Drosophila melanogaster: one gene and its partners. The gene in region 2 interacts genetically with the main gene of each other region. Each region holds a gene or a part of one and is shown on either strand. Other genes may lie near its edges. The genes, in order: Khc, Tm1, psidin and stan.

Region 1 (7,379 bases), on a different chromosome or scaffold from region 2:
GCTATGTGTCGCTGCTAAAGAATATTTACCATATTGACGAGCCGCAGGCTCTGTTTGAATTCGTACATCCTAATCGAGCGGAAAATATTGACAATACTCGCTGCAAGACGGTTTCATTTAAAGTCAATAAAGATTGCGTGCTGCACGGAATCGGCGGATACTTTGATACCCATTTGTACAAGGACATCTGCCTAAGCATCAATCCTCTGACCCATACGCCTGGCATGTTCTCCTGGTTCCCCATGTTCTTCGCAACGGTACGTGTGATGTGATTAGTTAGCCTTTGATAACTGCTACATTAATATATATTTTTACTACTCAGCGTCCAAGAACTCTGAGGGAGGGACAGACTATATCCATCCAGTTTTGGCGATGCGTGGATGCAACCAAAGTGTGGTACGAATGGCAGGTGGTCAATTCTCCAGACGATTGGGAGCACCATAACACACGCGGGACAGGTTACAACATGCGATTGTAACAGCAGACGATGTAATAACAACCAATAGCCAAATAATCGGCATAATTTTTTTGAACTGCAATAAGAATCAAACTAAAGAGACCTTAATTTGTCTGCGACTTTTATTTAGGTTTATGTTTGAAAAGTTTATAAATACTCTTAACGTATATAGATGTCCTTACATATCTGTGGGTTTTATTATTTTCGGTTTGTAAAATTTAGTTAATTTCCGGTTTCCTTTCATTTATTTAATTAAATTATATGTATGTATATTTAAAGCGCTGCACATGATCGCGACACATCTCATCTAAGCGAAGGCAATTATCAGTTATGTTAAGTATGTATAACGTAATCCATTTAGTTTAGTTTAAAGCGGAGCTGAACTGGGCGGCGACAGGTGGTGATTGGATCTACGAGTTGACAGGATTAACCTGGGCCAGCGGGGATGGTCCTCCAACGGCGCCACCACCACGAATGGCGATTGCACCCTGGCCGGACCGGATCGGCTTGGCGATCTGTGCCTGTGGGCCACGTCTGCCCAGATGCTTCTGTCGCACCGCCTCCTTGATGCGGTCCACCTCGTATTGGTAGCGCTTGCGATCCCGCATTGCGCCCTCCTTCGCCTCCTTGAGCGCTGTCTCCAGAGCTTTCACCCGCTCCATGGTACAGCGTAGACGCTTCTCCAGCTTGGGCAGCTCGCACCGCAGATCGGCGTTGTCCCGCACCAATTGCTTGTGCACCTTGGTCAGCTGGTCGAGGTTGTTCTCCAAGAAGGAAATCTTCTGTTTCTGCGCGAGTGATCCACCGTCCTCCTCGCTCTCCTCGTTTACGACATTCTTTCGGATTCGTTGCTGTTGGCACAAGGGAAATACATTTTAAGATCTGTACGTAGCAATAATAGATAGGATTGCTTAAACTTTACCTGTAGATCCTGAACGAAAAGTTTTCGCAGGTTGTGTAGCGTCTGCAACTCCTTGGCCACCGTGTCCTCCAGGCCCTTGAGGTCTTTGCGCGCTTGCTCCCGACGCTCGTTGGTGAGGATGATGTTCTGAAGCTCGCTGGACTTCTCGGCATCCTCCTGGCGCACCTTCTCGTAGTCGGCCGTCATCTGTTGGTGCGCCAAGAGCAGCTTTTGATGGACATCCTTCATCTCGTCCATTTCGTGCTGCTTGGCGGCAATCTCATCCCGGAGCTCGGACACCTGCCGGGTGTGGGCTTCGCGTAGCTCGTCCATCTGAGAATCGAACATGGAGCGCAGCTCCTCAGCCCGCTGTTTCTCCTCGGCGTTAACGGCGGAAACGTGCTCGGCGGCCTTGAGCTTGGCGCATTCCTCGCGCAGCGAATCGATTTGTTCCTCGAGCGTGCGCTTCTTGTTCTCTGCCTCCCGCATCGACTCCTGCAGCGACTTCATGCGTGCCTCGTGCTGCGAAATGAGTAGCCGGTACTCGCCCAGATCTTTCTCATATTCGGAGATCTTCTTGTTGGAGTCAGCCTGCTGTGTTTCCATGTTGGAGCATCGCTGGGCAATGTTCTTGGCCTCCGTCTTCATCTTGCTGATAAACAAACGCGCCATGGTGAAATCTTCCTCCACCTTGCTGGCATCCGTGCCAGCCAGAGCACTCATCTTGAGGTCAATGCTGGACTCGCCGGGGGCAATGGCCTGGCCCACTTCGCCAAGGTCGCGCAGTAGGTTGGTTAGCATTTCCGTGATGCGCTTCTTCTGGTGTGAGGACATGTCCTTGAGCTGCTGTAGCTCTGTGGAGGCGGCGTTGAACACAGACTGCTTCTGCTGCAGCTCCTCGTTGAGGGCATCGATATCCTTGTTCTTGTTATCGATCTCCTGGGATTTCTGGTCGTAGTTTACAGCCAGCTCTTCGAGAGCTTGGAGCACCTCCTTAACCTCTTCCTTGGCGGACTCGTTCTCCTGTTGGATTCGCGCCATCTCCGACTGCAAAGTCTCATACTCACGCCGAGCGTTAGCGATGAGTTCCTCCTGCTCCATCACCTGCTCCTTGAGCTGCTCGGCGTACTGGCTCTGCTGATTGATCTCCTCATCCTTGTCGTCCAGCTGCTGGTAGAGACGCTCGCACTCTGTAGCCAGCCTGGCCTGCTCGTTCACGGCAACCGATGCGGACATATTGGCGAGAGCCGTTCGCTGGGCGGCCAAAGCGGCCTCGGCCGCCGCCGTCTGTGCTGCCTCCACTTCCAGGTTGGGCGTGCTTGCCTCCATGAGATCCTCCATGTTGATTTGCTCCTCCGCCTTAACAGTTTCACCCGCTCTCCAGCGCGCAAGCTCGATCTCCAGCTTCTCCACCTTACCCTTTAGTCGGGCGTTCTTTTCCTTCTCCTTTTCATAGCGTCGCTTCCATTCCTCGGCAGTAAGCTCCTCGTTAACGCAGACCACGTTCTTCACTGTCTTGGCTCTACGACCGAAGTCCAGCGTTGACTTCGTTTCAGATTCGTTGAAACTGGCTGGAGAGCAGCAGATGACGATGGTTGTGCGTGCATTGCCTCCCAGCGACTCCTGCAGGATGCGCGTGAGCTTGGAATCACGGTAGGGGATGTGCGTTTTGTTTCCGTCCGCCAGGGCTGAAATTACGTTGCCCAAGGCCGACAGCGACTTGTTGATGTTCTTGGCTTCATCAAGAACGGTTCCCTCCGCTCCAGTCTTGGAAACCTTCTCGGAACCGGCCAAATCCACCAGGTAGAGTTTGCCGGATAGTTTCTTCTGGTTCTCCAGGTTCTCCTGCTTCACATTGATAAGGAATACTGAGTGGGATCGCGAAGAATGCTCGTTCATGTCTGAAAGGATGGATAAATCGTTATAAAAGATGATCTGGTACATGAAACACTACAATCGAGGTCAGAGCGAATGCTGGAATAACTCCTAGACTTGTTTGGCTGAAATGGTCCTGACCATCGATTTTAATTAGTACTCACTTGTCACAGCGATGTGACGATTGGATTTGCCCTCCTCGATCACCTCGAAAACATCCTCCGGCGACGAGACGAACCGTTCCGTAGCGCCCTTGACGTACGGCACCCGGTTCTTGTCCTCGTGCACGCTTAAGTTCACCTTGGAGACGTCCAACAGATCTCGAATCTTGTCCATGTAGATCTCGTAGTAGGAGACCTTGATGTGAAACTCCAGGTTCACCTCCATCGCGTAGATGTGATTGAAAATGTCGTTGACGATACGTGGTATGATACCCTGTTTTACGGAGTCCCCGATCACGCCCTCCATCGTATGCGTTTTTCCGGAGGACGTCTGACCATATGCGAATATCGTTCCATTGTACCCGGCCAGGACATCCGTAACAATGGACTTGGCCGCCTCATTGTAGACCTTCTCCTGGGATGCATTCGGTTTGAAGACCTTGTCGAACAAATACACCTTGCCCTGCAGACGATGGAGATTAGGTTTAGTATAATGTGTTTTTTTCTTTAGTACATAGCAGCCAGTTACATTAGCTATAAACTGGTGTCAGTTGCGGTGAAATTTCTTTCGGAGATTCATTCCCCCTGTCCCCGATCTTTTCCCGCTGACTGCCTTTGAATCATTTTCAACGCATGGCCGCGAAGCAGATTGTAATTATGAGCATTAAGACATGTTAAGTGGAAGGGGGAAGAATAGTGAATAACGAGCGCCAGAAGAAAGCCACAGCGAAAGAGAGATAGATAGAGTTAGTCAGAGAGAGAGAGAGAGCGTAATGATAATGTCTGTGTATGGAGGCACTATATTAGTGCTGACTTTTTTGGAACTGGTTCAATTGCCCAAGCTTTACCAGGAATATGACGGATTACACCTGGCGGAAAAGCGGGAAATTCAGCATAGCATACAAAGCAATAACATTTCATGTGGCATAAAAGCAATACAGCCAAATTCCATTGCCTCCAAAGTTGCTCTTATTGTTTTTCCTCATATTTTTTTTTTTTGTATGCTTTGCGTGCATGACTCATTGGCGCGCGGACAGGGGAGTGGAAGTGGAGCGGGGGCTACCGTCAATGTGTGTATGTGTTTGTGTGGAAATGTAAGTGAGGTAAGCACTGAAGGCGGACTGGAAACTAGAAAAGCGCATATTTATGCGGCCCAAAAGAATGGAACACCCGCTTTTAGCAGAAAACCGTCTAGTGGGTGGCATTTCTCCACCCCGTCATCGCGCTTCTTTCGATTTACACACCCTATTCTTTTTCGACTGGGGGAAAATCAATTTGGTGCAAAGCAATATTGATTTGGAGTAAAGTTAGTTGGTTTCATCATATACATGTATATGTACATCTAGTTTTGTTTTGTGCAATTATTCATGGGTAACTTTAGTGCCTCTCTCTTTTTATCGCCTGGCATTCCAATTGGTCGGCAATTTTGGGGAAGGGTAATGTACGCTAATAGGCATGACGTCATGGCGCGGCACGCCGAGATTAATGCATAACACATAGGGAAAAGGCACTGGGGGCTGGCGAAAACTATAGATCTGGAACACATACCGCTATGGATATGCAGTTCTCCTCCACATTGTTGGGGAACTTGACCACGAACTTGGAGCCGGCCTTCTCTTCGCTGTCGTTCAGCGGTCGGAATCGGCAGACCACTTTGATGCTGTCCTCGGCGGGAATCTCTCGTTCCGCGGACATTGCTTACAGGGCGGAGATAGATCTTTCTGGCGGAGATTGTTGGATTTCTGCAGCTCTGGGCGCGACCTCTGCGCATGCAGCTCACTGTTTACGTGGATAATCAACGGACTCGCTATCGTCCGCACTATCTGCTGTTCACTGTTTGCTTGTGCCGATTCTGGTACTCCGTTTGGCCCCTTTTGTTCCGATTCTCTGCTGATTCCGACACACTCGCGAAAATTGGGTTGGGGGCGGCTCAAATAAGAAGATGCAGTGAAAATTTTGTGGTTATACCAGACACAAAAGTTGAATTGGTCAAATGGCGATAACGCTGGAGCGCAACCTCGATTCTGACTGCTCCGCGTCGTACTGTTTTGCACTTTTTTGCCCGGAATGATTAAGTGCAGCCGCTAAATGCACTCGCATACGTTAGTAGGTCGGAATTAGTTGCACTCAAAACTATTTTATTATTCGACTATTATTTTCGCTACTGTGCGCCAGTGTGACCGTTCTGCTCGCCCAGCTAAATACCAATCGCCATTTAATTGCACAATAATACTGAATTAATACTCTCAAAAGCTTCGAATGTATGAGACACCCTGCAGATCTTGAAAATGGTAACGGCATATAATATTCCTAATTAAGCGATACCGTTTAAAAATCATTCAAAAATTATTCAAAATTGCTTGTTTATTGTCACTTTTGTTTTTCCTGTCCAAATATTTCGGCTTGGGCGCAATATATAGCTCCAAACTAGGCATACAACCTCTGTAGGTTCAATAGGAAAACGCTATGGAAGATTGATCACCGAGTCGCTGGAAAGGATTGTGGAGAACAGAGGGGCACGATGGCACAGAAGGATATTACGTCGTATTTGAATTTGGAGCGATTGAAGAAGACGCAGAAGCTCATCCGACTTTATCGATCGAACGAGTGCCTCTGGAATCCAAAGTCACCTGGTTTCCATAGTGGTTCTGCGAAGGATGACGCCTGGCGACAAATCACCCGGCGGATGAACTGCGGCCTGACTCCTGACCAGGTGGAGCTGCAGGTGCTCGGTCTGCGGCACTACTACTCCAAGGAATTGGCCGCCATCCGAAATAGTCAAATTGAGGGTTATAGTTATAGTCCAAGGTACTCCTACTTCGAGGACTTGCATTTCTTGGGAAACTTGGAGGTGAGTGGATGGTTTTTGCACTGGATATTGAATAGTGAACCATTATCTTCTATTTTTACACAGGAGGAAGCTAACTGTCCCATTAAGGAAGGACATTTCCCACCCAATTTTTCGGAGGACACATTCATATCGCCTCTAGCTTTTTTAAGTCCCAGCTGCAGTGAAACCAGGTGCGGGTACACCTTCTACAAGATGATTCTAGAGCCTGAGCCACCAAATGAAGAGTTCTTAGGTGTGCACCATGAAAGATCTACGTCCGGCAATGATCGGTGGTATCCCACTGCGTACTGTGTTCGTTGCAAGCCAGAGGAAGACGAAGATCCTTGTGAAGCGTGCGAGCTAAGAGGTCAAAGCAGTCGTCCTCAATTCGGAAGTAAGAGCTCTTTAGAAGGCGGAGAAAGCGGCAGTACCAACCCAAGGATGTCTAATCGGTATCAGGAACAGGATCAGTCAAATAAATTCCAAAAAAGTGATAGCAAACAGTATCGAACTGGGAAACCATGTTCATGTCCCACGAAAGACAACCCAGAAAAGCGTTCATCGCAAACGCAACAAAATGATGTGTACGTCGGTGCTGACAACTGGGATGGTTACGAGTCCGTCGGCAATGGTATACGCAGCGATAGATGGCCAGGTCCCAGACTATGTTCCCAAAAACGCGGAGAGTGGAAGCCCAGGTTCCGTAAAGTAATCGGCGAGGACAATCAGAAGTCGTGCTGCGACAGCTGGAAGCGAAATAATAATGCCGTGTGCGGGAGACTTCTAGACCAGTTGGCCAAGCAACAGAATCAACCCGGCAGTTACTCCGACGATGGAGACTCCGTTCGGAATCAAAGCTGCGGCTGTACGAAGAATCGCCGCCAGTCAGGCGAGGATCAGTTAAACGTAATGCTGTTGCAGAAGAAGTATAGGGATCGGACTTTGTCGAACAATGCAAACAATCCTACCACCGATCGACACAGCAACACTCAACCGATTTCGGATCAAACTTACTATAACACCAGCCATCCAGTTCCGAACTGTTGTTACTGCACTTATAACCAAGTAAATCAAGACGTTCAGCGCTGCAATATCCATGGATGCCAGTGCATTTACTGCAATCAAACTGTGCCTCCCGCCCACGGTAACTACTAC
Region 2 (4,739 bases):
TCGTTTTCGTATTTAGCAAGTTGCTCAGACTGTTTTGCTATTTTACAATGTTTTTCGACGTTTTCTCAAGGGTCTTTTCCATGTCTATGTCTTCTTTGTTTTTTTTTTTCTTTGTCTTTATAAATATATTGATCTAGTTTTCTTGCTTCGAAAACTTTTTGTTTTTAATGAATACAATTACGTCATTTTGTGGGTGTTGTTTGAGTTAATTTTAAAATTTTCATCAACCTCGGACTGGCAAATGTTCTCCAAGATAAGAGAACAACAAAAAATGGAATAAGTAAATACATATATGTATATATGTTGGGGCTATCAAATTGGCTTATATTTATAGGTTTATATTTAAAGACTTTAGTTGCATTCGAACATATAAGATCTCCAACAATTTTGTTGGCGATAAGATTAAAAGGGCGTGATCAACGAGTAAGCAAGCAATCTAGAAGGGCAAATATGCATATCACCAGATCGGAAACTCAACGATTATGGGGAAACTGAATTTCAACCGTTTTCACGTTTGCAATTTAAAAAAGCATGAATCATGGATGCATTTTCTTGCGAGACAGTTACAAAAAAACGTATACTTTCATATGTGACATTTATGATTGCCAGCAAAATGTTTTCCGTTCGCAGACATGACGTTGAAAAATCTATAGAAAGAGCTTTAATATATAGAGCAGAAAATAATAATCTGTAGACCTATGGGGGAAATACGTACGTATAACTACGTGAAACAAGATTTTTTGGCATATCAATAACTGAAAATTAAAAATAGAAGTTGAGAACATCAAAAAGCAAAACAAAACGATCCCCAAACCAATACACTCTCATCGGGAAAAGAGACACGATTGCCTAAGTATTGGATATATTTTGCAATGGGCAAAAACACTGGGTGAAAAGAGCTTTTCAAAATACGGGGAAATATTCAAAAATAGGCTGAAAGAAAGGCATTCGATTCGAAATGAGTGAGCATTACCCATACATGTGCAGCGAACAGGTGAAAGCACCAAGGAAAGGATCGGAAAAGAGAGGCAGAGAGAAAGCGGAGAGAGAGCGCAGGCGCCGGGCTTGAATGTGTGTGTATAAATTGTAACTGTATTTGAAATTCTGATCTTATGCTTTCCGTTACACTGGCAGAAATCGGATAGGAACATAAATTAAATATATTACGGGCTGAGGGGTAAAGAAATGTTGTACAGCTTTCTTAACTGGCATAGCCCATTTCACTTTGGAGTATTTTCTGAATGAAAAAAACATTTAATATAATTTATAAATGAATTTCAAAATTCAAATTTGTAATAACAAAAGTAGCATGAGTAAATGATGATAAATGATAAGTGCGACATAAATTTATAAATACATTAAATCAAAAGTGCATATTAAATGTCCTGATATTAGAAAGCATGCATGATTACATTAAATATGAGTATATAAATAAGAACAAATGCACCCCTTTGTTGATTTCGCGCAGTGTATAAGCTATTGTACCCCGGCCGAGCAATTTACCGATGCTCTTGGGGTAAATTGAGAGCCAAGTGCAGTTCCAAAGTAGGCGCAGACAGCAACAACATATGCTCGCTTTTGGCCGAAAAGTGCGCACTCTCGCACACAGATACTCACGCACACAGGCGCACTAGCGCGGCGGCTCACACGCACACACACCAGCGCAAGCCGCTCGAAATCGACCAAGCGGCGAGCATCGAACGTCAACATATTGAATAAATATTTTCAGTTGAACATCACAATCCGTTCAAGTCGCGGATAACTCCGAATAAAAGTTTTGTAAGTAAAAAGGAATACGTTATCGTTGATCAGTAAAAAATTATACAAAAAAAAATACAAAGATATCGCTGAATATTTCCACAAAAATACTTGTCGAGTGCTTCAAAAATAATTTTAACTGTGCTAGAATTCGATTCTTATTTAAAAAAAAGGATCGAACCAAAAAGTATAATTACATAACCACAACGTTGCTGCAATATCTAACTTAAAATCCACCAAAGTGCTGTGCAATTCTCAACCCTAATCATCCGCAAGTATTGAAAAAAATTGAAAATTTTCCCAGTTAGAATCGAAATAAACCCAAATAGAGGTTAAGCACCTTTGCAGATCGCGAAAAAAAAACTAAGAATAACGATTCTGGGGACCTTGTCAAGTTTGTCTGCTAACCGCAAGTTGCTATATAGGGTTTCAGCTAAACGTATTTCATGAGATATATAAACATGGTCAGTGGGAACTTCGAACGATCTTAGATTTTAGCGGCAGAAGTAAAGAATTAAGGCAAAAGGAGGATTATCGAGCTCTCTTTCCTCCTTTCAGAAACTAAAATTGTCATGTTGTATATGAGAAAGTAAGGGAATCATTCTTAAGATAAAGATCAATGAGATAGACTTCAAGATAGCTATCCTTGCTATGGAATGGTTTCCTGAATTATAATTTTCTTTAATCCAAAATGTTTAGGAATTCATTGAGCCTATTTTCCAAGTAACTGGGCAACACGCGCATTTACTTTGCAGTTTTGTATCTTTGAAATCTGATCCACGACCGCTGGCCCTAGCTGCCAAATGAATCTGAAGCGAACGTAGGCGAAATGCGCCAAGAATTTCCCAGAAAGCTCCCTTCCTCTCAGCTTAGTATTAAGTAATATCCGTGGAGAGGCTAGATATTCAACAGATGCCTCGGCTGTCCTATTTTTAGATACAATCCGTGTGTGCTACAGATACTAAACAGTGAAATAGAGAGCAGGAAAGCTGCTAGAGTATCGCCCAAGGCATTTGGCTAAAGAATCTATATGCATTAGACCCATTTGAACCAACGTGTGTATATATCGTACTCTAAGAATAGAAAATTCTGTATTCTGTATGATTAAATTCCGAATTTTCCATGCGATAATTTGTAAATTTTGTGTGGAAAGGTAGATCTTATAAGGTCGGATACAGATGGAAAATATCTGTAACTTGTAAACTAGGCAGAAAAGTAGGAATTGCGAGGTGCCAGTTCATAAGGATGGCTTGTTAGTTGGCCATAGTTAGTTAGATATAAAAAATGAGTTATACATATACGCATTTTGTTTCCTGAAATATTAACTTTGTTCCTAATGATAACGTCATTTCTTGATAAGGATGATCTTAATACTCATAAACCTCTTTGGTGTAGGCCCATTTTTCGATTATATATATGTCATTGCCGAAAGTTATAAGATGTCATGGGAATTTTGTGCTGAATCAACGCAAACATAACTCAATGTGTCACCTTAATCGACTTATGGCCCATACACATGCAGATTTATATATATATATATATGTATATCTGTGTGTTTTTTAAGCGAACAAAAAATTTGCCTCGATTGCGTTTTCATTAAAATTCAACGTTTTTTTTTTTTGGCTTTGGCTTTATTCGATTGGCGCTTTTTTCTCCAATGCCACTTCTCTTCGGCGGATCAGGCACAGGAATGTAAACAGAGTTTTTAAAAATAAATGCATGTTTAAGGCAGAACCACACAACAAATGACAGCGATGAGCCGTAATAAAGAATTAAAATTTCACGCGGCGAAATTCGAGTCAATTAGCCGCCGGCTGCACTCGGTTCGAGCCATGACAAATGTTGGTCAAGTGGGTTTCGTGTTGGCCAGGAAAGGCAAAGGGGGTGTCAATGGGCACCAAGGAGGGGCCAAAAAACCCACCAGCTGCGTTCACATTGAGTCAGAAGTCTGGAGCTGCTCGAGAAAAGGGGCAATAGCCCAGTGCAGCTGAGTGATTCATCTTGGGTTTTTAATTCGAGGATGGTAGCTACAGCATCTGCACTTTACTGATAAGAATGCAATTCCAAGATAAAGCGCACATTTGTAAATATAAATTGATTTGAGTAAACATATATGGCACCTAAGAGTATGCAATGATATATGTTAGTTAAAAAAATATATTAAATGAGCTTACTATCATTTCAAATCCTCATTCTACTTTCGAAGATTTAGAAGACTTTATCTATGCAGCAATTTCTTGGCCCAGATTGGAATCTACTGACACAATTTTGGCTGGTGACAGAACTCTCTATTCGAGAATGTACCCAGTTCGTCCAGCTTCGTTTGGCTCCACACCACGCGATCCGATGTGATCTGCATAAATAAACACCCTGCTTTCGGTGTTTCGAAGTATATCCCAGAAAATAAGGTTCAATTTTAGGTATTCTCGTTTAAATGATTTACTGTGACGAGATGAGAAAACACTCTCAAAGTTCAGAACATCAGCGAAAGAATCGGACAATAAAAGTCGTGAAGAGACGCCGTCGAAATATTAAATTCTCAATTTATCAGTTGGCTAAGCTCGAACAATGCGACTGACTGGCATCGAAAAGGGGGCCTTGGTTGTTTCGGTTTTGGCCAGGCCGAATAATTTATTGACTCTGCCACCTTTCGTCCAAAAATGGCTATCCATTATTGCAAAAAACTCGCTGTGTAGCTTGAAATGGAAGAAAGATCTGCCAGTTATTTTGATAACATGCAGATAAGATGGGAGCTTTAAAGTTATGAATTTAAATACATATATGTGCAGAAATCAGATTGCAGGATCCTCATGTAAATACACAAGTTATAAAATTGCTAAATTAATCATAAAATGCAAATGCATTTTCCATATAGTTTCACTTTCGCACAAGCCATGTTTGGACTTGAATACTACTCCCCTTGCACTTGCTGATTATCGCATAAATCTGCTAATTGCTTTATTGGCTTGCACTTAACCATG
Region 3 (7,033 bases), 4.7 Mb from region 2:
TTATTATATTGAAAGGATTAATAGTTGATTTTTAAATGAATATCTAAATTTTAAAGAAAGAAATATACAAATCGGCCCTACATTACTATCAGCTCGGTATTATTTTTTATTATCTATAAAAAGATAACATCGGTGTAGCCCCTGAATCTTTGCAATAATTAAAATAATAACAGTAGAATGGGCAGGAATATATAACATTTAAAGATTATTAAAAATTCCAATACGGACTACATATATTGCACGAAATCGATTGTTGGCTAACACAAAGAGAATGCTGTGCCCATATGGCAGCAATAAAGCTAAGTCAGATTCGCTACTGATTTCGAAATGTGTACTTTCGTTTAATGCTTCCAGATCTATTGGTGGTTTGGGGATGATGTCACTGCTGGTGGTCTCACCGTTGGACAAGCAGAGTATATACACCTGGCAGCCTTGGCGCTGCGTCAGCGAGTAGATCAGCGGTCCGAAGAACATGCACTCGTCATCCGGATGGGCGGTGATCAGCAGGACGCGCTCCATGCACGCCGTTTTGGGCAGCCGGACGCTACGCAGCCGTATTCCGGACTGAAGGGCCTGCTTCAGGCCGCCAGGACTCCGATTGCCATCCGAACTTGGGTTCAGCTCTGCCCCCTCGCCCGACCCGGCATTGCTGGTGTCGTTGCCGTTGTGGTGGGCGTCCAGTCCCGATCCCGATCCGGCTCCCGAGAGCCAGAAGGTGAGCTTGTAGAGGCCCAGGCATACTAGCAAGTACACCGCACAGGCGATCAGTACGTGCTCCAGTGCTTCGGCGGATGATGACCTGATACGGCAGTAGATGGCCTGAGGATTGGGGACGAGCTGCTGCACCTGCTGCTGCAGTTGGCGCCACGGGGATGTCGATGCAATGCTGCTTGATATGCTGGCCACGTACTCGCTCAGCCAGTTAAATCTCATCGCTCATTGCGTCCGGCCAAGGGCAAGATTTTTGGCGAGAAATTCTTCACCAAAAATGGACATGCAGCGCAATTTGGCAGCGAGGAAAAGCGGAAAAGCGGCGATAACGGTGCTCGGGCGGTTACTTAAACTATTTCACTAAGTGGATGTGTTTCTTAATCGGTAGTTTAATACTTCAAAACGTTTGGTTACGAGCCCGCGCGCCGCCTAATCGGCTAATCTCTGCATTTTATTCGAAAACTTTACGCGTTTTCGACTTTCGGGGGCAGCAGCTAGAGATGGGCAACTGGCGTGGTGCGTGGCAGGTGCGTGACTCACGCTGACTCATTCACGATTTCTAATCAACCTGTCCGGTGCGCCGTGCAACTACAAAGCTTAAATTATCTAATTGGCACTCGAATAAATTGATAAACTCTTTTCTGCCATTCATCGTTCGCTGGCAAGCTACCATTCGTGAGAATATATCAGTCCATCTCTATCGCTCAGCTGTTGGACAAAGTGCCCAGCGGTAGGGGTACTCTTGTCACTGTTTTTATAAAATCTTAAGTTTTTTTTGAAAACTTAATCTGAAATATAAAGAATTACAGTTATGAACATTTCTACTTTTTGAAGAATATCAATACTTTGTTGATCATAGATAATAACAAAATTACTAAAAACTACTATTAGAAATTCACTTTTGTACAAGACATATTCTAACCTTAAAATTCTAAGCAGAATGATTGAATGGAATTTTAAAAGTTTCCCAATAAGAGTATCTTGATGGCTTAAATTTGTGATTTGAGCGAAGACCCCTAATGTCGGCATGCTCTTCTCGAAAAATACCAGAAAATACTGGAGAAAATACAGGGGCCGCTCTCTTCTCACCGAATATGCAGTCTGAGGTTTTTTTTATTTTGAATAAAATTTAAAGTCACTAGTTTCTATGAAAATAAGCACATAATTAGCCTACGACCGTGTGATTCGAGTGCCCGAGAGCCAGCCGCCCGTCCCCGACCGCCCAAACACCGAGGGCAACCCAAGGAGAGCCCCCAAACGATTGCAGGAAATTAATCAACGGCAGACGACAGCGTGCCGCAAAACCCAAAAGAGAGCGAGTCTCAGTTCGAGGTGCATGCAGCACGTTGTAATTAGGTTAGCAGCATACAGCAGCACCACATAACACGATAACATGGCACAGCAGCAGGGCATGGACTCGGCCCTGTTCGAGCGGCGACTGCGGCCGGTATACGGTGAGTGTGTTGTCCGTGTCCACGGCGGAATGAGGCGCTCCATGTGCCGGGTCCACAGTCTCACAGACTAACATCCCAATCCTTTGCAGACAACCTGGAGGTGGGCAACAATCGCAAGGCTCTGCAGGAATCCGAGAAGTTGCTACGCAAACATCCCAACCTGCTCTGCGCGCGGGCATTGAAAGGCCTCTCGCTCCTGCGACTGGGACGCTATGACGAAAGCCACGGATGCCTCCAGACCGTTGCCGAGGAGAAGCCCACGGACGACTCCACGCTGCAGGTGCTGTCCTTCTGCTACCGCGAAATGGAACAACGTACGTATGGGTAAACCACCGGCAGGGCTGATGTACTGAGCCCACGTGGAGCCACCGTTTGCTGGGGATTAGGTTCAGTCAAATGCAAGATTGATAACGTACTAAGCATGGTCTAGGAGGTACATTACCTCAAGTAGAAGTTATTTAGGAGTATGATATAACCAACTAGCCATAAACTCTTAAAGCACGAACCTAGTCTCTCGTTCTAACGCGATGAAGAAGGGCACCAGCCATCAGAAATAACTAATTTGTTCACAAGTAGCTCCTGATAGGCTATAAATTATTAGTTTCATTTATGAATTTGACTTGTGAAGCACACTTTTAAGTTATGAAGAACCTTTTGTAAGTTAATATCCAATTTTAAATCTAAAAACGAAATGCCTGTGTGAGGCAAGGACTCATTGTATGTATAGATAATAATTAAGGATTTAGATTTCTCCTTTCAAATGTGTAAAGGTTACAGGCATTCTAGAATTGAAATTTTATAAAAAGAATAGCTTCCTTATCCATGAGTTAAATGCTTGTATATGTATGTATATGTATATACAAAATATTTTAAAGTATAGATTTAAAGATAATATTAATATTTACTTAAGTTATTTAAATACGAAACCATGGTCGATCAAAGGATACAATTTGTTGAGCTTTTTTAAATTCGATTGACGAATACAAAGCAACATTTTTAAGTAAGAATGTTTCTTAGCCACATCTGTGAATCCCCTAGAGACGCCCCTGCTACGCACACGAAGTGGCCACAATTCATATTTTCGTATTTTCTTGGCACGCGCACCTCGCCCGACTAATTAAAATCGCATTCTCTTAGTCGGACGACGAGTGGCAAGTGCGTGCCAACGATCTGAATATATAGATACCTGTACCTGCGAAAGTTGAAATCGCTAATAATATATAAATATCGGCCTCTTTGCAGTGGACAAAATTGTGGAGCTGTACCAGCACGCTGTGAAGCAGAATCCGGGCAACGAGGAGCTCCTCGCCCACCTCTTCATCTCACATGTGAGGGTGGAGGACTACAAGGCGCAGCAGGCGGTGGCCCTGCAGCTGTACAAGGCGCAGCCGAAAAATGCCTACTACTTTTGGTCGGTGATCAGCGTAGTCTTCCAGGGAATCCGTGGACCGGAATCGGCGCTGCCCGAGAAGCGGAAAATCTACTTGGGACTGGCGCAACGCATGGTCGACAAGCACATCAAGGAGGGCAAAATGGAGACGGAACAGGAGGCCTTCCTCTATCTGCACATACTTAAGCTACAAAACAAGTACCAGGAGGCGTGGGAATTCCTTACTGGTGAGCTGTGCGCGAAGCTGTACCCCGGTGCTCCAGTCAGCATGAAGTTCGAGCTGCTCAAGGAGCTGGGAAACTGGCGGGAATTGAATGAGCTGCTGCAGCAGCTGCTGGACGCAGAGTGAGCTTAAACAATAAGTTCATATGTATAACTACGTTTTCTAAGTTTTATTTTTTATCCCCAAGTCGTGATCGTTGGGACTTCTACAAGGAGTATATCCAAAGCTCGTTCGAGCTGCTAAAACTTACGCCGCAGGGCGTGGAGAACGGGGATAAGGACTCTCTGGCCAGGTGTCAGGAGTTCCTTCAGCGCATCATTGACTCCTCGGAGCGCAAGAAAAGGGGACCCTATCTGGCGCGGTTGGAGCTACACCAACGCATGCGAGCGGAGCAATTGCCGGCGGAAAAACTAATCGGTGACTTTGACGAGATGGTCATTGAGTACTTCCGTCTGTTCGGCGACAAATCGTGCTGCACTCACGATATCGCCTTGTTCTTGCCTTCGATCAGCATGAACCAGAGGCAAGCGCTAGCCAGCAAGTTGTTGTTGGAGAGCGGAGTAACCTCCACGTCGCTTCCAAAAAATGTAAGTACGCAAAAATTATAAATTCAACTTTGAGTCTAACGATTGTTGGTATATGATTATTGTAGAAAGAGCAGTTGCAAAAACATCTTTGCGCTCTGCAAATCTCTCGAATGTGCGGATCCCACATGGATCTGCCTGCGGACCACCTGCTTGCCTTCTATACGGCGCTCAAGCTGCACTACGAGCACGGCAGGACTACTTTCGGTAAGAAGTTGCTGGCTACGGAAATGGGACCATCGGATGCATACGCACTGCTGGCGGCAAATGTAATGTACGATCTGAGTAGGCGGGAAAATAAGTCGGATCACCTGTTCGAGGCGCTGTGCCTGCTGCAGTATGTTCTGCGAAACAGTACGAGTAACTTCCACGTGAAACTGCTAAGTCTAAAGATCTACCATCTGTTTGGCTGCCAAGTGGGCGCACAGGAGATGTATGAGTATCTGGACATTAAGCAGATTCAGCTGGACTCCATGGGCTATGTGCACTGCCAACTGTTGGCTCTTGGAGGTCGCTTCTCGGGCAATCGTAACGTGTACGATGCCACCCTAAAGTTTTTTACGAACAGCTATAAGGAAAGGCTGGAATACATTGCGTTAACATATCGCTTTTGCACGTTTTCAAAAATGGAGGAGTTCATGAACTTCAAGGAGCGGTTAACCAACAGCTTGCAGTACGTGGCCTGCTCGGTGGAGGCGCAGATCTGTGACTTGGTTAGTTGCTATGGCAATATCACGCAGAATCTATCCGCATATGTGGCGATGAGTATTGAGCCGGCGGAGGACCGGATCGCTTGGCATGAGTTGAGCGACAATCGCGACTTAGGGGCCATTATCCGATGGGATCCGCTACATGAGGTAGACGCTGCGGAGGAGCGCAGGGAGTCGTTCGACCAGGAAGTTGAGGTGCTTCAAGTACGTTCGCTGATGCTTCGACTCTTTGCCTCTTTCATCGACTTGTACCACGGCGCGGGCTTAAAGGATTCGCCAGCGGGAGCAGAGACGGCCACCTTGGAGCTCCTGCGGGAGTCCTGGACGGGATTATTCCAGAGATTGCGCGTGATGAACTACAAGCCGTTGGCGCAAAAATTTCTAGTCAATCTGCTGCCCACACGTCTTCACCTGCTGCTCGACATGCCATACGAACGTTTCTTTGACGACCTTGCCCAGTTGGTCCTTGACTTGCAGAGCGGGTCGGCAAAGCTGGCCGAGCAGTGCAAGCGGGTGGGTGACAATGTTATTGCGACTATGGAGCTGTGCGTGCAGACCATCAACGAGAGCAACGAAAGCAACGGCATTGACGGTCTGTGGAAGCGGCGAGGTCAGCAGCAGAAAGTGGCAGCCAGTTTAGAGGTAAAATGTTGGTAGTAAAAGCAGGTAATCTTAAATTCACCAATGTTCTTATAACTTTTCCAGATGCTATCGCTGTACGCCTTCCTTCTGTCCGTGTTGAACGACAAGCTGCAGGTAAGCTCAAAGACCAAGACCAAGAAGAAGCCGGTGGAAAACAAGGTGGATGGACCGCAGCCGATCAGCGAGAAGGAGCGCAGCCAGATGTTGCAGGAGCTGATGCGACAGCTGAAGCACAAGTTTGAGGCCTGCGACACGGCCATACGTAAGTGGCTCTAGACAAATCGCCCAAAGATAAACTAAGGTATGATTCTGCAATCCTTAGGCTCCTGGAAGGCGCCCGTTTTGCCACGCGACCTCAGCTCCTTTATGTCTGACATGTCGCTGAAGCCGGAGGTGGAAGCCACGCTCATCGGCGACGTTTCGGCCACCTTTAAGGACTCGCACGAGCTGATGGTCACCGAGCTGCGCAATCTGCTGAAGGACAAGATACGCATGGTGGCCAAGTAGATGCTTCTTTGCTGTGCAAAGGCCATCAGCCAGCCAGTCCGGTCATCGTTGCCCCCACACAATCCAAGTTCATAGTTTGTTATTTAATTTTGTTAACGGATACAACCGACCTCATAATCCTCCTACACTACAATTATCTCGAACACCAGCGCCAAGTCAGCACTTATCAATCACTTTTCGGCATTTCCCTCGTACAACACATAAAAGTTGTAAAATTTTGTAAAACAAAAATTAGAAAAGAACAAAACAAAGAAAAAAGATTGCGTACCGCTTTGCAAGTAAGTCAAGTAAAAGAATAAATTGTAAAAATGTAAACAGTTTGTTTTTTTTTTTAGAATGCTTTTTAGTTAGTTTCATGAAATCTTTCTAGCAAACTTTATATAACAAAGGTCGTATATACAAAGTTTTAGGCTTTAAGCAAAGGTAAAATGTCGCGATCTTATAAATATTATATTATTAAGCATTAGCTACAGTAATCCCCACTTTAAAGGTACTTAGATAGGCAGTCAGTCGTGGATCATTTATATGCTGTTGCGTTTGCAGATGCGCCACGAGATTGTGAATGCGAGCGAAGCTTTTGTTGCAGAGTTGGCATCTGAAGTAATAATAGCAACGTGATAAGTTTTAGGTTTGATTTAGTTTAAAACCGAAACCACTTACATGTGGGGTTTTTCGCCCGTGTGCGTCTTGTAGTGCATTTTAAGGACACTGGCATATGTGAACTTCTTTCCGCAGGTCTTGCAGGCATAAGGACGCTCATTTCGATGGGTTCTGTGGAGGAAATACAATTAATTAGCTAGTCTCTACTTGTA
Region 4 (5,000 bases), on a different chromosome or scaffold from region 2:
CTCTACGCCCACTAACCAACCTCCCATCTCATCCTTGCGCACATTGAGGTTCAGTGAAGCGGCAGCAAAACCCCTTCGCCTTCCTCCCCTTCCTGCGTTTTTATATCGCTCGCAGGCGGCACTTGCATAAACCAAATGCAGAGACAAGTGTCTTCGTCCTGCAGAGAGAGAAAGATGTGGACACTATGGATGGATAGCCACTCAATCCAAACAAAAATGTGCCACATAAACAAGAAGACGCTGATACGTTGAGTGCATTTTACATATTTTTTTACTACTCTCAGATTGTTTATTTATATTGAATACAAAAATCGGACTTTGCTTATTTAAACAAAATTCCTCGAAGTGATATTTTTCCAAGTGTTTGGCCTGCTTGGCTGGACACGCTGAATCGTGGAGGTTTGGCCTTGTTCCCTCCTGATAACCCATCTTCCAACTCCGATCTCCGAAAAGGGCTGCCGGCTTTCGACGTGTGTCAAGTGTGCTGCATTTGTTTAATGCCAGCGCTCAGTAATTGGAAAGCATGTCGAACATGTCGAATTTATTGCCCCGCAAAAAGCACACAGATACAAATTGAAACGGTTACAGATTACGGATGCAGCTAGCTACACATGGCCACAAGGTTACATAGACACGGATACAGATCAATGGGGGAATTCAGAGCATTCCGAGTCAATGGCTTGGAAGAGCCTCAACCAAATGCAATTAATCAAACGCAAGGGGCCAATGTCAATTACATGCAAGAAACCCCCATTTCGGTCTCCTATTCTCCTATTCCTTCGATTCCTCCCAAAATCCCTTCGATTCGTTGCTATTCGGAAGTATTCGGACCACGTCAGCTGGCCAAATGCGAGTTGTTGGCCAAACGACGATGTCTTGGCCAACACCTTCCTGTAAGCTATAAATTCCGCCGACACATACATACATCTACCAGCGTAGCCATTACCCACGACTGTTGTCCTTGTGGGCCAAAAGCTTGTTCGGTTTCTGGGTCCCAGCATATGTTTATCACTGCTGCCGAATTCTGCCAACCAAAATTGCATTAAATATTTTGCATAATTCGATAAACTGAAATCTAATCGAATGGCAAGCAGGAACATGCGAATTTCTGGCATACCTATGTATAGATCCCAATTGGAATAATGATTCATCCCTAATGGCTTCGTAATTGAAACTATTCACTTAACAGCTCTTGACACTTGAACCTCATCATAACATGGAAAACGGTCATTTGGTCGGTTTTAATGGTGTACTACATTTTTGGTTTTGACAGTGAACTTTTAGCATATTATGTTTCTGAACATAAATTGCGTTGATTTAGACTATCGCTTAATTATGCCAAATAATATGTTTGTTTGTTTATTTAGTTTTCAAACCAAGGCGTTCAACAGAAAATGAATTATTATTGGTGGGACACAAAAACTAGGCTATATGGAATATTATTTATTAATATTAACAAATGAATACACCACATGTAAATTTATAAGTTAGCAATTTTATGTTCAAGTTTTACCCGTAAGGGATAATGTTCCACCATCTTTAGATTCGCAAACTAATTCCGATTACAGGTGTTGGCCCGATGCACAGATAACACATTTATTTAACATTTATTTAATAAATAGTAGTAAAATTATATAAATATCACATTTAATAAATTGAGTCGATTTAAATCTTTGAGCATGCAAAGCGTGCTGCAAAACTAATTTACTGATAAGAAAAAGACTTTCGAAGTTTCCAAAGATTGAATATCCTACAGGTTGAAGAATCCTGGATCAAATTGCACGTTTTTATGCTCGGGGATGCAAACCGAAATTTGGTGGCACCTCTCTCTGCTGCCGCAACATGTTGCAACAGTCGCGGCAATGTTGCTGCAACACGCAGTCACCCCCCGCAGAAAATCCACCACCGACGAAAGTATCCATCGGATACACGAACTCGCTTCGGCTTCCAACTGAGTTTTAGCAAGAAACTCAGTTTCTGTTTCTGGTTTTGCCAGTTACCACTGCGACTCCGGACCGATTGGACGCGTTTTGAGCGTTTGGCCAGCAAGAACGGTATTATTTTTCACTCGGGGCTACGCGTGCGCGTCTCTGCAAAGTCAAAAGCAAAGACAAATGCAAAGGCAAGTGCAAAGCCAAAAGGCAGAGGTAAACGCAAACCCAAAGTAACAACTTCGACGGTCGAAATTACCGGTTTTTCGCCAACACAACATACAACAATCCTCGCTCTCAGTGAATTTTAGCGCGCGGTCTTTTCTTCGCCTGCTGTTTTCAGAAAAGTGCGTTGGCTTTTCCAACAACCACCCCCTTTTTTTAGCCGCCCAGCTTAACGGTCGGGGTTATAGTCGGTTTAGCATTCGAATTATTCGAATTTCCCGGAATCAAAATAGTTAAATCAGTTTAAACAGTGCTCTAGAGTGAGGCCAGTCACACAAACTGGCGAGTGCTAATTATAATATATTGTGTTAATAATACAAACACAAGATTCACGCAGAGGAAACAACACGGATGCGCGATTTTAAATGCAATATTATAAATATTTAACAATGCAGCCGTGCAGCTAAAGCGGATTATTGGCCACCCACGCGTGGAAATTCAGCGGCAGAGCAAACAAAAGCCTGTAAGTTCACACGTTCCAGCCAGGATATATCAAGGATATGTGCATGTGCTCGCGCATATACATATGTCCTTGTGGGCGGGATGCGGCTGCATTCTAATGGGAATTGTGCGACGCATGACACCTGATTCATGACGTATGACAGGTGTCGTTCCAACAGGACACTATATGTTCCGCAGGCGTGGCCTTAAATCTCTTAGATAAACTTCGTATTTAAGGGCTTACGCCATAGCGGAATCGCGTAATTCATATTTTCAAAGGGTTATAAGCTCTAGAAAAGTATTTTGTATCTGCATATAAATGGGGGCCTGTATGAAATATTGCTAGAACCTTTATTTGTTATATGATATGGAAAGACGCTTAGTGGTTCTGGCTACCTCTGAAATGTTTCGATTTAAGACGTTCTTAATTAACGGCTTTCAGCTCTAGGGCTTCGGCAATAAAATAGAGCTCCAATTGGGCCTTTAAACCTAAGGCCTCTTTCTTGGCCATCTCCAATTAGCAGTTGGCCCAAACAGTTGGCCGATGGCCGAAGTCGAAGTCGAAGTCCGACGCTCACACAGTGCAACTGTTAAAGTTCAGAGCCATCGCAAAAAGATACAAACGCGAAGCTCTAAACAAACATTAAACTGAATACCAAATGAGACAACAAAAGGAGGAAGCACAATAAAAGTCACATTAAAACGTGGGTCAAAAACGCGGAGAGCGCGAGGAGAGAAAGGAGAAGAGTTGGGTCAAAACATAACCGAAATCGGAATCGGGGAATCGTGGAATCAAATGCCTGCACGAGATACAAATGTATCTGTATCTGAGCGTTGCAAGTGCTTTGTTTTCCCTGCATTTCACACTTGTCCATGGGATTTTGCCTTTGCCATTGCGTTTGTATCTTTGTTTCTGCGCCCTTTGTCTGGCGCATAAATATTTCAGCAGGCCGGGACAAACTTATCTGCTGGATACATTATTCACTCGACTCAGTTTTGTCGGATTGCCAATTTATTAAGATAGATTTTATTTTCGAGGCCATTAACAGGGCCTTTGTTATATTTCGATGGGGGCCAGATACTCTCGCACATTTATGTTTTATGATTTTCTAGTTGGAATGCGGTGTGTTTGGTGCAATTGGAAGAGTCAAGTCAAGTCCATTTTGAGCCTGCCAGTGGCAAGTAGCTGAAAAATTGTTGTAAGACTGGTTTTCTGCTACTGCTCCTCGTTCGACCCCTTTCTCCCTGCCTCTCTCTAGCTCTCTCTGTCTCTCTTTCTCGGCGTGTTACCAACCTTTTCCCATTCTTCTTGCGGCTGGTGCAGAGAAAAAAAAGTTATTTACTTAGGTTAATTATGTGATCCAAGTTTAGTTACACACAAAAACATCAAATGTCGTTCTATTATATTTTATAAGACGATTAATATTAAGAGTTAAAGGCTTAAGGTGTTATCCTTTAATTTTTACAATAGGCTGTTTTCTTGAAATATGTGTAGAATGAGTTTAATCCATTTATATTTGAAATCAAATAATTGCGGATATAAAGATTAAGTTGTAGTAGAGGAATTACTTGAATAAAATTTAAGAAAAAGTAGGTAAATAAAATATTTTACCGTGCTTAAAATGAGTTTGTTAGCGCCTGGCTCTCTTCGCGGTTTTGCAGCTGTCTCGGCCAGGTTAGGAGCAATCCACCACCGGCAGGCAGATCCGCTACGGGCCATCATCCTGACCAGAACGCATCCTCTTCTTCTTCGGTAGCCGCAACCTGTTTTTCATTGGTTATGTTTTTTGTTTTTTTGAGTTCGAAGTGATCAGTTAAGACTTCAGTTGGCCAAGGAGCCAACGAAAAAGGTGATTTTTTCCGGCTTCTGATGCCACATTCACTGCGAATAGCCAACTCGCACGGCGAACTAACCTCAGTCAATCCATTCGATATCCATGCCGGCATAGGAAAACTCGTTATGACTCTTGATTAATTAACATTTGAATGCTGTCTCGTGCCAGTTAATGTGGCTGATTTGTGACCGGCTTGAGTCCATCAAAATATCAACAGTCTATTGTGGAATTTATTACAGAATCAGAGGGCCAATGGCCAAATGAGATTTGCATGGCATGGAGTTGGACGAATTCGTGTGCACACACCAGAGATTCATTGATGACGTTGATGGTCCACATTTTTCGGTATCTTTTGTGGGTTTATGGTGGCCTCTCTTGGCCACTACTCACACGGCTATCCATGAGATACTTCTGCGTAGGCATCGGCCCTCTTGGTCGCGCACTCAAAACTGGTTTCGGCCACATTCAAAATTGTTATGTTAGAATAAAAGCTTAATTGATGCATATACACACGTACGGTTCAGTTTTATACGGCAGCAGTGGTCCGTAGATACAGCCGAAAAAAAAA

Evidence for each region.
Region 1: of Tm1 (region 2) and Khc, changing one suppresses a phenotype caused by changing the other (phenotypic suppression), as found in Drosophila melanogaster (one study listed by BioGRID).
Region 3: of Tm1 (region 2) and psidin, changing one suppresses a phenotype caused by changing the other (phenotypic suppression), as found in Drosophila melanogaster (2 studies listed by BioGRID).
Region 4: of Tm1 (region 2) and stan, changing one enhances a phenotype caused by changing the other (phenotypic enhancement), as found in Drosophila melanogaster (one study listed by BioGRID).

Annotation. Positions count from the first base shown.
Region 1 is NT_033778.4:16,266,397-16,273,775, forward strand, and holds Khc (kinesin heavy chain), read right to left. Parts: upstream 5,576-7,379; 5' UTR 5,090-5,575; coding exon 4,943-5,089; intron 3,858-4,942; coding exon 3,398-3,857; intron 3,260-3,397; coding exon 1,380-3,259; intron 1,309-1,379; coding exon 868-1,308; 3' UTR 564-867; downstream 1-563. Other genes in the region: csul (capsuleen), read left to right, coding at 1-257, 323-478; CG33017 (uncharacterized protein), read left to right, coding at 5,916-6,245, 6,309-7,379. UniProt on the Drosophila melanogaster protein: Kinesin is a microtubule-associated force-producing protein that may play a role in organelle transport. Milt and Miro form an essential protein complex that links Khc to mitochondria for light chain-independent, anterograde transport of mitochondria.
Region 2 is NT_033777.3:15,279,825-15,284,563, forward strand, and holds the start of Tm1 (tropomyosin 1), read left to right. Parts: upstream 1-1,725; 5' UTR 1,726-1,779; exon of another isoform or gene 1,780-2,033; intron 2,034-4,739. UniProt on the Drosophila melanogaster protein: Tropomyosin, in association with the troponin complex, plays a central role in the calcium dependent regulation of muscle contraction.
Region 3 is NT_033777.3:20,019,950-20,026,982, forward strand, and holds psidin (phagocyte signaling impaired), read left to right. Parts: upstream 1-1,754; 5' UTR 1,755-2,104; coding exon 2,105-2,165; intron 2,166-2,254; coding exon 2,255-2,479; intron 2,480-3,407; coding exon 3,408-3,900; intron 3,901-3,965; coding exon 3,966-4,365; intron 4,366-4,430; coding exon 4,431-5,714; intron 5,715-5,777; coding exon 5,778-5,976; intron 5,977-6,036; coding exon 6,037-6,221; 3' UTR 6,222-6,533; downstream 6,534-7,033. Other genes in the region: PIG-L (phosphatidylinositol glycan anchor biosynthesis class L), read right to left, coding at 399-933; CG4424 (uncharacterized protein), read right to left, coding at 6,678-6,816, 6,882-6,992.
Region 4 is NT_033778.4:10,671,351-10,676,350, forward strand, and holds the start of stan (starry night), read left to right. Parts: upstream 1-1,994; 5' UTR 1,995-2,619; intron 2,620-5,000. UniProt on the Drosophila melanogaster protein: Involved in the fz signaling pathway that controls wing tissue polarity. Also mediates homophilic cell adhesion. May play a role in initiating prehair morphogenesis. May play a critical role in tissue polarity and in formation of normal dendrite fields.